Linked DNA regions of Drosophila melanogaster. The protein of the gene in region 1 purifies or fractionates together with the protein of each later gene. This does not show direct contact. Each region holds a gene or a part of one and is shown in the gene's direction. Other genes may lie near its edges.

Evidence for each region.
Region 2: the proteins of AhcyL1 (region 1) and RnrL purify together in Drosophila melanogaster (affinity purification with western blotting, with the first as the bait; one study listed by BioGRID). This does not show direct contact.

Annotation. Positions count from the first base shown.
Region 1 is NT_037436.4:2,767,927-2,773,951, reverse strand, and holds AhcyL1 (adenosylhomocysteinase like 1), read left to right. Parts: upstream 1-1,626; 5' UTR 1,627-2,162; coding exon 2,163-2,684; intron 2,685-3,460; coding exon 3,461-3,910; intron 3,911-3,974; coding exon 3,975-4,568; 3' UTR 4,569-5,486; downstream 5,487-6,025. Other genes in the region: CG12093 (uncharacterized protein), read left to right, coding at 50-553, 648-847, 906-1,344; Non2 (putative nucleolar protein 2), read right to left, coding at 5,950-6,025. UniProt on the Drosophila melanogaster protein: Might play a role in the regulation of methionine metabolism possibly by binding and inactivating Ahcy.
Region 2 is NT_033779.5:10,324,484-10,329,652, reverse strand, and holds RnrL (ribonucleoside diphosphate reductase large subunit), read left to right. Parts: upstream 1-1,709; 5' UTR 1,710-1,774; coding exon 1,775-1,826; intron 1,827-1,877; coding exon 1,878-1,966; intron 1,967-2,198; coding exon 2,199-2,376; intron 2,377-2,434; coding exon 2,435-4,554; 3' UTR 4,555-4,627; downstream 4,628-5,169. Other genes in the region: Schip1 (schwannomin interacting protein 1), read left to right, coding at 1-178, 243-331, 391-457, 518-849, 913-1,181, 1,243-1,306; CG4995 (uncharacterized protein), read right to left, coding at 4,688-5,169. UniProt on the Drosophila melanogaster protein: Provides the precursors necessary for DNA synthesis. Catalyzes the biosynthesis of deoxyribonucleotides from the corresponding ribonucleotides.

The DNA of each region.
Region 1 (6,025 bases):
TTTTGTTTGCTTATTTTGCGCTTTTGTTTTTCTTTTGCTTGCAATTATTATGTTTATTTGGCATTACTTGACCCTCTTGTGCCTTGGGTTCGCCCTCATCGATGCGAAATCCATCAAGAAGTCGCAGGCCAATCTGTTGGAGCCAACTCTTGATCCTGATGAGAAGCTAGGGAAGATTGGGAAGTCCCCACCCGACATTTCCAATGATGTGCAACGTGTGCAGGTTCCATTAGGTGCGACGCCCGGCAAGAATGGCTGGCAGGGCAAGTGGTTTCCCCATGCCCCTGGACAACAGCAGGAAGCGATTGAATTAAAAATGAAGAGCACCACGGAGGAAGTTCCTCCGCTGGAGTTCACAACCAAGGATGGCTGGCAGGGCAAGTGGTTTCCACAAGCTCCCGGAGAGCCGCACTTGGTGAAGAAAAAACCGCTGGTCGATAACAAAACCAAGTCGGGGAAGTCCACCACACAGGATACTTGGCAGGGTAAATTGTTTCCGCAGGGTCCCAATGAATCGCACAAGACTAAACAAAGCAGCTGTGATGATGGCAAGGTGAGTTTGGCAATATAACTAATACTTCCCCTAAATACCGATGAATGCTTAGTATTAGTCATCTTTTTCTATCATTGTTATTAACAATTTTCAGAGCAATCTTGCCGTGGACTTCGATCCAAACGACATCCGTGACAGCCTGAATTTCCTATGCATCAGTAGTAATCACAGCTTGTACCAACCGGATTTGTCCAGAGAAGCCATTCTTACGGAGCACTTTCTACCTAGCGCCTATCTGCCGCCTGCCAAGTGCCTTAATGAGTCCATTAGCTACTCCCATCTGCCTGCCACCAAGTAAGGCGAACAATATTATAGTTTCCTGCTAATTTCAAATTCAAATCTGTATTATCAGTGGCCCCTATCGCCCGATGCCCGCTGAATATGGCACCTATTCCTACTTGCCTCCTCAGCGATACGTGCGTAATCTGGCGGAAGGTGCCATCGTAATGCTCTACCATCCCTGCGCTTTTCCCGGCCAAGTGAAGCAGCTGCAAGACATCGTGGGTGGCTGTCTGTATCGCCATCTGGTGTCACCCTCGCTGGCTCTGAGTCCGCAGCGACCGCTGGCCCTGCTCGCCTGGAGTCGCAGCCTCGAGATGTCCGTCGTGGATCGACAACTGGCGGCGGACTTCATCCAGAAACACGCCAAGCAAGGACCACTTGCACCGGAGGAATTGTCGCGTTTGATTGTCAAGAGACAGACCTACAAGGAGGGCCTTCTTAGGGAAGCGCACTTGGTCAACACGGCGGACGACTACGAGCTGTGCGGCTACCTACAGGAGGATATGTAGGCCAAATGTGTTAACTATTTGTTTTTAATAAACCTCGAATACTTTGCCAATTTCTTTTTGACTCATTAAATTATCCAGCTACCAGATTTAAAAGACTTGCAGCTGAGGAGTTGTAAATCACACTTTATTTACTTTGCTCATTAAAAAATAAACACATAATTAATGGTAAGAAATTATAAAAATTAATTTTTAGACGATTTCAGTTAAAAAGTCGTTACTTTGGCCTTTCTTCAGTGGGAACTTACCACACTTGCAGAATAGCACTAACGCCTTCTGCTTTTGGTATTTTCGCGTGTCTCGCTTACTGTCCTCGGTTCGGTTTAGTTCTCTTTTCTCCGGATAAAATCAAATTCAATAAGCGATCGCCAAACGATCCCCCACTTGGTCGCCACACAAACAACGTCGCCCGAAAGCCGACGGCTGCATCATCATCCCCTCTCCGGAAACTCCCATCAAGCCCCGGATCCAAAGTGTAGCCCCCCATTCGCAAAAGAAGAAGAAGAACAAAAACAATAGTGGAGAGGTGAAACAAAGGAGACTCGCACTAAAAACAATTAATTTAGCAATTTGTGGTCTCCACAACGTCGATAAATCACGTGATTGTGCAGTTCGTATAGACCCAGGCCACACCACTAGCCATTTGCAGCGCATCCTGCTTGGATTTCAGACTTTACATAACATCCAAGGCGCCCATTCAAAGGAGCAGCGGAAAAGGATTGCAAGCTCTGGAGTCGCAGAAGGTGGAACACTAGGAGCTAGAGCAAGGAGCCAATTTAAGGGATAGTAAGGAAATCCCCAGATTACCCTCTACTTCCACCATGAACAACCTGGCAGACACTGTGGTAGTTGATCCTGGATTCGGAGGCGGCGACAAGCAGCAGCAGGCTGGACCGGCGCCGCAGGATGCCAGCGTGGTGGTTCCTCCGCCGGCCACCAAGCAGTCCTCGGCTCTGAAGAAGACAAGTCGGTACAGGAGCCGCTCGCTTAGTGCCTCCTCAACGGATTCCTTCAGCTCCGCCAGCTACACGGGCAGCAGCGAGGATGGCGACGACGTGCCGCCCAGGGAGAAGGTCCAAAAGAACTCCAAAGGCAGCTCCGATTTCTGTGTAAGGAACATAGGCGCCCAGCATGCATTTGGGCGCAGGGAGATCGAGATTGCGGAGCAGGAGATGCCGGGCATCATAGCGCTGAAGAAGCGGGCGGCCGAGGACAAGCCTCTGAAGGATGCCAAGATCGTGGGTTGCACACACATCAACGCCCAGACTGCCGTGCTCATCGAGACGCTGGTGGAACTGGGCGCCAGCGTGCGCTGGGCCGCCTGCAACATCTACTCCACGCAGGTGAGATGTCGTATGAAAATGTCATAGGGTTCTTACGTATTCATAGGCTGCTTAATGCATTTAATGGAATCTCTTAAGAGATATCTTAACTCATTTTCCTATATTTATTTAAATTCATATGCATATGCGTGCTCGGTCACTTGATCTGCTCGGTCGCTTGGAGACAATTGTTGTCACGCCAGGCGACGCAAACAAATGATCAATCAAGCCATGTTAATCAATTAAGCGCCCGCGGCTCAAGTGTTTGGCAATCGCTGAGTAATTGATGTGCCCTGAATTGGGTCGCCATACCATTGGGAGTGGAAGTTACGGACGCAGTTTTAGTTCCAGCATTGGATCGGCTGCGGTTACTCGATCTGTTTGCCTATTCCTGCGGCGTGGCTGATGCAATTATCACGAGTCTGCTGACGCTAAACAATTTATGGCTTCTCTAATGAAGCGATGCGAGTGCGAGGGCGAGCGCCCTTCCCCGATCATTTATGCACCCATCCGTGCCAGCTTTTATCGCCCACGGCCCCCGACAGCCTGTCACGCTGATTCACCTGTATCGGCTGGGACTTATCAGCCAAGCTACGAGTGCCGTGCTTAGCGAGAATGGAGCCCGATGCGTTATCAGCTCGATATAAGTCAGATATTAGCAAATGTTTACGCCGCATTAGGGTGACTCGATTTATCAGGCCAACTCTCGAGGGTTTTACCTGTTTGACAATCATTTTATTAGCCTTCAAGGACTGTCATTATTAAAACAACTCAATATCGTTGCTTATTATTTTTAGAACGAAGTGGCTGCTGCTTTGGCCGAATCCGGAATCCCGATCTTTGCCTGGCGCGGCGAGACGGAAGAGGACTTCTGGTGGTGCATAGATCGCTGCGTTAACGCCGAGAACTGGCAGCCAAACATGATCCTGGACGATGGCGGCGATGCCACGCACTTGATGCTAAAAAAGTACCCGACCATGTTCAAGTTGGTCAAGGGAATCGTCGAGGAGAGCGTCACCGGAGTGCACCGTCTCTATCAGCTCTCTAAGGCCGGCAAGCTGACAGTGCCGGCGATGAATGTCAACGATTCGGTGACAAAGACCAAATTTGACAACCTCTACAGCTGCAAGGAATCCATCCTGGACAGCCTCAAGCGCTCCACGGACGTGATGTTCGGTGGCAAGCAGGTCGTGGTCTGTGGCTACGGCGATGTGGGCAAGGGATGTGCTCAGGCTCTAAAGGGGCAGGTAAATGGCACCCACAACCATTAGTATGATATACCTTTGTCACCTTTTCAATCTCCAATCGTAGGGCTGCATTGTGTACATCACAGAGATCGATCCCATTTGCGCCCTGCAGGCCAGTATGGATGGCTTCCGTGTGGTCAAGCTGAACGAGGTGATCCGCAACGTAGACATTGTGGTGACGGCGACCGGCAACAAGAACGTGGTGGTGCGCGAGCACATGGACAAGATGAAGAGTGGCTGCATCGTATGCAACATGGGCCACTCGAACACGGAAATCGATGTGAATGGCCTGCGCACACCGGACTTGACCTGGGAGAAGGTGCGCTCCCAGGTGGATCACATTATCTGGCCGGAGGGCAAGTACATCATTCTTCTGGCCGAGGGCAGGCTGGTCAATCTGAGCTGCTCCAGCATCCCCTCGTTCGCCGTGTCTATCACCTCGGCCACCCAGGCCCTGGCCCTGATCGAGCTTTTCAATGCCCCGCCCGGACGCTACAAGTCGGATGTCTACTTGCTGCCCAAGAAGATGGACGAGTATGTTGCCAGCCTGCACCTGCCCACCTTCGATGCCCATTTGACGGAGCTGAGCGACGAGCAGGCCAAGTACATGGGACTGAACAAGGCCGGTCCTTTCAAGCCCAACTACTACCGCTACTAGGACGCAAGGCGGGCGGATGCGGACAATAACACCAGCAATTAGAAGAAACAACAACGCCAACGAAAGTATTGTCTTTGCGAAGAAGTAAAACTATTTAAAACAATTGTTGACACACACACACACGGAAAACACAAAAGGATACGGAAAGGAGAACACAAAGTTACTATTACCATTGTATTGCTTAGTTTAGCTCGAGCGGAATTCTTGGTTGCTTTTCGTTAGCATTTAAAGTCTTCGACATAGTATTTAGCACTCGCTTTAGCCGCAGGAGTATTCTCTCCGTTCACCTATCCAACATGACTCTCTAATCCCCAAAACTAATCTTGCCCCAAGAATTTATCCCCATCAACATTTTTTGTAGCCAGTTACTTGAATTTATTTTAAATACTTCGAACGCCTGTCAATCAGACTGCAGTAGCTCAAAAGACGCGATTAGTTCTCTAAATGTATACTTCTAATTCGGAATTGATAATATATTTAATGGGAATTGACTTGTATAATGGTTTCTAGCATATTTGCATTACATTTCTATAACTTTTTCGCGTGAAATCCATGTACATTTTAATGTTAACGACTTTCCTGACTAATCCCTTTTTTGAGCTACGACAGCTGGGCAATAAGTGATCGATTTAACCTCTCGTATTGTTTACGTACTTAATTTGTTAATGTTTATGGCCCCCGCTTATGATTATGATTATACTTTTGTACTTTCGTTTCGTCCCGAGAGCGTTAATGGAACAGCAGTGCAAGGTATTCCATTTATTCAATTATATACACGCTGGCATATATATCAGATCGAGAATTATATATATATATACACTGCATATACACCTAATATGTATATTAGAAAAAGTGAAAAATGTTTGTAAGAAATTTGTGAGAAACGCAAAACAATAAAAAAGGGATTCTTTATTGAGCAATTAGATCTGTTCCACTGATTGATTTCTCCCCCAGCAGCCCCGTCGAAATGAAAACCAGGAAAAGTTGCTTTCGTATTTTTCAGATGCATCACTCGTCTATTTCTCTTTTTATTACTCGGTACTTGCCTTAAACTTGTTATGTTTTTCTTTGATATTTTATAAAATGTAAACTACACGAGTTTGTCATAAAAAAAATCATACACATTATGTATTATAATCGATTTTTTTTTTGTAATTTTCCGTTCATCTGAACTATTCCTAAAATGCCGTAAAGTGCATAATGTGCAAACCCGTCCTAATTAGGGTAATGCTAAACACATGCGTCAACTAAATCTTAATCAAAGGTTGTGGAACAAACAAATCCAGGCGGAGCCGAAAGTTACAGGGGATTGGTAAACCAGGCTGGCGGAGAGGCATACACATATATTTGCATCTGGAGAGGATCGGAGGGCGGATCTGATCTAATCGAGAAAGTGCGGCTTGAGATGCTTCAGCATGCCAAAGGTGCGGAAGCGGCGGATCTTCATCACCTTCATC
Region 2 (5,169 bases), on another chromosome or scaffold:
CAGGCTGAAATACCCAACATGAGCAGCTTGGAAATCGGTGGAAGTGGAAGCCAGCAGAATCTGGACGAGGACAATAACAAGGTGGCTAGTCGGAAGTACTCAAATCAATCGCGCTGGTCTCAGTACTTGGAAGATCCCATCAAGTACTCCAAAGATCCATGCTCCACCATGGTTTTAGGTAATTTCAAATATGAATTAATCGTTATAGATTCTTGAGTATATTAATATTTAAATTTTTATAGAACAATTTGATGCGTACAAGATTGCAAACGATATGGATGTAGAAACATTGCAAAACCATTATAAAAAGGTTAAACAGATAGAGAAAAAGGTAGGTACAATATAATCGGAATAATAATATCATTTATTAAATATATATTCCAATTACAGCGGCGATTCAATCGAGATGAGATACGCAAGAGATTGGCAATCGGAGATAAAGATTCTTTAAATAATGGTAAGACCAAAGATATTCTTTCATTACTATATTTTCTTAAATATTATATTTTATATTTAGACATTAAGAAGGAGGAATTTCTAACCGGATCCGATAATGAAAGTTATAGCTCCGACTCTGAGACGTGTCCAAAACTATCAAGTGGAGTACTTCGCAAGCAATCTGAATTCTGTGAAACGAAACGCAATAAGGAATTTGAAAACGATAAAATCTTTCAAAAGAACCAAATCAACCAAGATAAAAGCATGAATCATATGAATGGCAATCCCATTGGTACAACAGATTATCCGTCGGATGAAAACTTGTTTTTCTTTGCGAATCAATCAAAACTTCAAATAGAGGTTAGAATAGCACTAGCTCAATCGAAGGAAATAGCTCAGATGAAAGTAAAGGTGTGTTTTCCACAGGATTTATTTATTTTTTATTCAAATGTAATTGTAATTATCTATTTGTAGGCAAGGAAACATGGCGTAACTCCCATTGTGGACGTAATTCGATCAATGCTGTGTGATGTTGGCATCAAAATGAACTCCAACCATCGATGGATTTCGAGGCAGCTGCTCACTGGAATCCAAGTTCCGACTCTCCAGCTATTGGTCAACAATCTCCAGGAATATATTGAAAACCTAAACGTCACACTACTGGAGAGCCTTAAGGAGCGAGACGATTTGAATTCGGACCAAGATGATATATTACACGATCTCGAAAAAATAAATAACTTTTTGTATGTATACAAATATTATCTTATTTTAACTGTGTGTATTAATGTTAATATTTCTTTCTAGTGTTTTCCAACAGCAATCTGGACAGCAAGTCAATAAAATAGTTAGACACGGCCATTTAGATTAAACACTTGAAATTGCATATTTTATTAACAACTTGTTTACAAATATTATAATCTCTTGTATAATTGATAACAATCTACCGAGACCGTTTATAAAACACATACTCAAATGTTCTTCAAACACTGTTATATTTATGTAATTATATAAAGCTAAATAAATAAAAAATACAACTAATTATTTATATTAACACTAAACTAAATTTGTTTTTATAAAACACCTGTGTATTGATACAAGCAGTTATTTATATATTTATTTGATTATCTAAAATGATATATTTTTTAAGAATATGATATAAATGTGAGTGGAACGGTTCGAAATAATTTTGTTTCTTGATCGTTTCAAAGTTAGGCGTTTTGAAAGTGCGGCATTTGATCAACATGTCGCACGGTAACACTAATAATGACTTTAATTTGGCGCCTTTTTGTGCTTGCAACAATCAATTTGCCGCCTCTTGTGAAATATAGCAGTCAAGATGTTGAAGAACAAGTCCATGAAAACCTCAAAGTTATATGTTATTAAGAGAGGTGGGTTACAATTCCTTGTCGCTATGACTGTTCTTAATATATTTATTTCAGATGGCAGGCAGGAGGAGGTGCACTTCGATAAAATAACCTCAAGAATCCAGAAGCTTTGCTACAACTTGAACATGGATTTTGTTGATCCTGTAAGTTTGTTTCTATTGTTTAAAGGTGCTCATCACACAGGTTGCACTCGAACCTAGTAAGTATGATGCGTATTTATATGTGATGGGGTTTGATTTTATCTGCAACAGAATGTGCGAGCGCCCCTGGTGAAACTCATGTGGGAGTCCCAAGATATACAAACCATTTGTAATAAGTTATCAGCAGATTATTTGGGAAGTTTTCCTGATGTGTTATTATGCTTTATCTTTATAGGTTACTATCACCCTGCAAGTCATCAATGGTCTGTACTGCGGCGTGACCACCCAGGAGCTGGACAACTTGGCAGCAGAAATCGCAGCTGGATTAACATGCAATCATCCCGACTACGCCATCCTGGCTGCTCGCATTGCAGTGTCCAATTTGCACAAGGAAACCAAGAAGGCTTTTTCTGGTAAGTTCATAGCTTGTATTCTGAGTTCTTCGGTTAATCCAATCATGATTCTTATTAGACGTCTTCGAGGATCTGTATAATCATGTAAACAAGGAGACGAATCAAAAAGTGCCCTTGGTATCCGAGTTTCACTACAATGTGGTTAAGAAGAACGCCACACGGCTGAACTCGTCCATAATCTATGATCGTGACTTTGGCTATAACTATTTTGGCTTCAAGACCCTGGAGCGTTCCTATCTGCTCAAAAGAAACGGAAAGATCGCAGAGCGACCGCAGCATATGCTGATGCGCGTGGCGATCGGAATCCATGGAGAGGATATCGATGCGGCCGTGGAAACTTATAATCTTCTATCGGAGCGCTACTTCACGCATGCATCGCCCACACTGTTTGCCGCTGCCACAAACCGGCCGCAGTTGTCGTCGTGTTTCCTTCTGACCATGACAGCCGACTCCATCGAGGGCATTTTCAAGTCTGTGGAGCAGTGCGCCATGATCTCCAAGTCCGCCGGTGGCATTGGACTTAACGTACACTGCATTCGTGCAAAGGGCACATCGATTTGCGGCACAAATGGAACTTCGAATGGGTTGGTTCCAATGCTGAGGGTTTTCAATAATGTGGCACGTTATGTGGATCAGGGAGGCGGCAAGCGTCCCGGTGCCTTTGCCATTTACCTGGAACCCTGGCACTCGGATGTCTTTGAGTTCCTGGAACTGAAGAAGAACACAGGCAAAGAAGAGAATCGCGCACGCGATCTGTTTTACGCCCTGTGGATACCCGATCTCTTCATGAAACGCGTGGAGGCCAACGGTGATTGGTCGCTCATGTGCCCCCACAAGTGTCCTGGTCTCCACGACGTGTGGGGCGATGAATTCGAAAAGCTGTACGAGAAATACGAGCAAGAGGGTCGGGCCAACCGAACGGTTAAGGCTCAATCCCTGTGGTTTGCCATCATTGAGGCGCAAGTGGAGACCGGAAATCCGTACATGCTGTTCAAGGACGCTTGCAACAGGAAGAGCAACCAGCAGAATGTGGGCACAATCAAGTGCAGCAACTTGTGTACGGAAATCGTAGAATACTCCGCACCGGATGAGATAGCAGTCTGCAACTTGGCCTCCATTGCCCTCAACATGTTTGTAACGCCGGAGAAGACGTATGATTTCAAGAAGCTCAAGGAAGTCACCAAGATAGTTACCAAAAATCTAAACAAGATAATTGATATCAACTATTATCCTCTGCCAGAGGCAAGGAAATCCAATTTGAGGCACCGTCCCGTGGGCATTGGTATTCAGGGATTCGCTGATGCTTTGATTCTCATGCGTTTCCCGTACGAAAGCGAAGAAGCCGGTCTCTTGAATCAGCAGATATTCGAAACGATTTACTATGGCGCCTTGGAAGCCAGCTGCGAACTGGCCCAGACCGAAGGTCCATACGAAACCTACGAGGGCAGCCCGGTAAGCAAGGGAATTTTGCAATACGACATGTGGGACAAGGTGCCAACGAACCTGTGGGACTGGCAGAAATTGAAGGAGTCCATTAGGATGCACGGTGTCCGGAACTCTCTGCTTGTTGCTCCCATGCCCACGGCATCTACAGCTCAGATAATGGGCAATAATGAATCCTTCGAGCCCTACACCACAAACATATACACCCGGCGAGTTCTGTCCGGCGAATTCCAGGTGGTCAACCATCATTTGTTGCGCGACCTAACCGAGCTGGACTTGTGGGACGACGACATGAAGAACCAGATCATATCCAGCAGAGGATCGATCCAAAACATTGAGACCATACCCCCGAAGGTGCGCGATCTGTACAAGACGGTGTGGGAAATCTCGGTCAAGTCCACGATTAAAATGGCCGCCGATCGTGGTGCGTTCATAGATCAGAGTCAGTCGTTCAACATACATGTGGCCGAGCCAAACTATGGAAAGCTGACCTCCATACATTTTTATTCCTGGAAAGCTGGTCTCAAAACCGGAATGTACTATCTGCGCACCAAGCCAGCTGCGAATGCCATTCAGTTCACCGTGAACAAGAAGCAGGGTGCAGTGAGCATGAATGGCCAGAATGGCACCGCCGAGGGAAGCCCCCAAAAGTACGAAGAGGATAGGGAACGGAAAATGGCCGATATGGTTTGTTCGCTCGAAAATAAGGACGCCTGCATGTCCTGCGGTTCTTAAAAGCATTCACATAGACTAATATATTGTATTTAATTGTAATATCACTACGTTGAAATAAACTTAAATTATGAATAATTCAAATAGCTGTTACCTTCAACAAGCGCATTTATAAAGGTACTAAACAATTTATACTTTATTTTAAATTACAATCGGATGCTAAACGTGCTTTAGATTCTTTGGGAATGTTGATTGTGCTACTCGTGTAATGGCTGTGAACGACATCCTTTGGCGTGGACACATACTGATGGGACATGGCATTGTCCGTGATTATTTTGCGCACCACTTCCTCAACCGTTGGCGCCGTCGCCTCCAAGTCCGCTTGGCTCTTGTTGTCTAGGTTGACGAGAGTCAGTGGCTGATCGGAATGCATTACGGAATCCATGCCGCCCTTGGCATTGCAGATGTCCAGTACCCAGGACACCACAAAGAAGCAGGCGGCGTTCATCGGAAAAGCCCGGATCAAGGTGGAGTTTAGACCGCGAAAGAAGTACTGCGGTCCCTCGTTCCTAAAGCCCTTCATGGCACAGTCGATGAAGCCATTGTATTTGGCATTCGCGCCCAGGGCATCGGCCTGCATGTGGGTCTTCACCACGTCGATGGGGTAGCACGCCAACC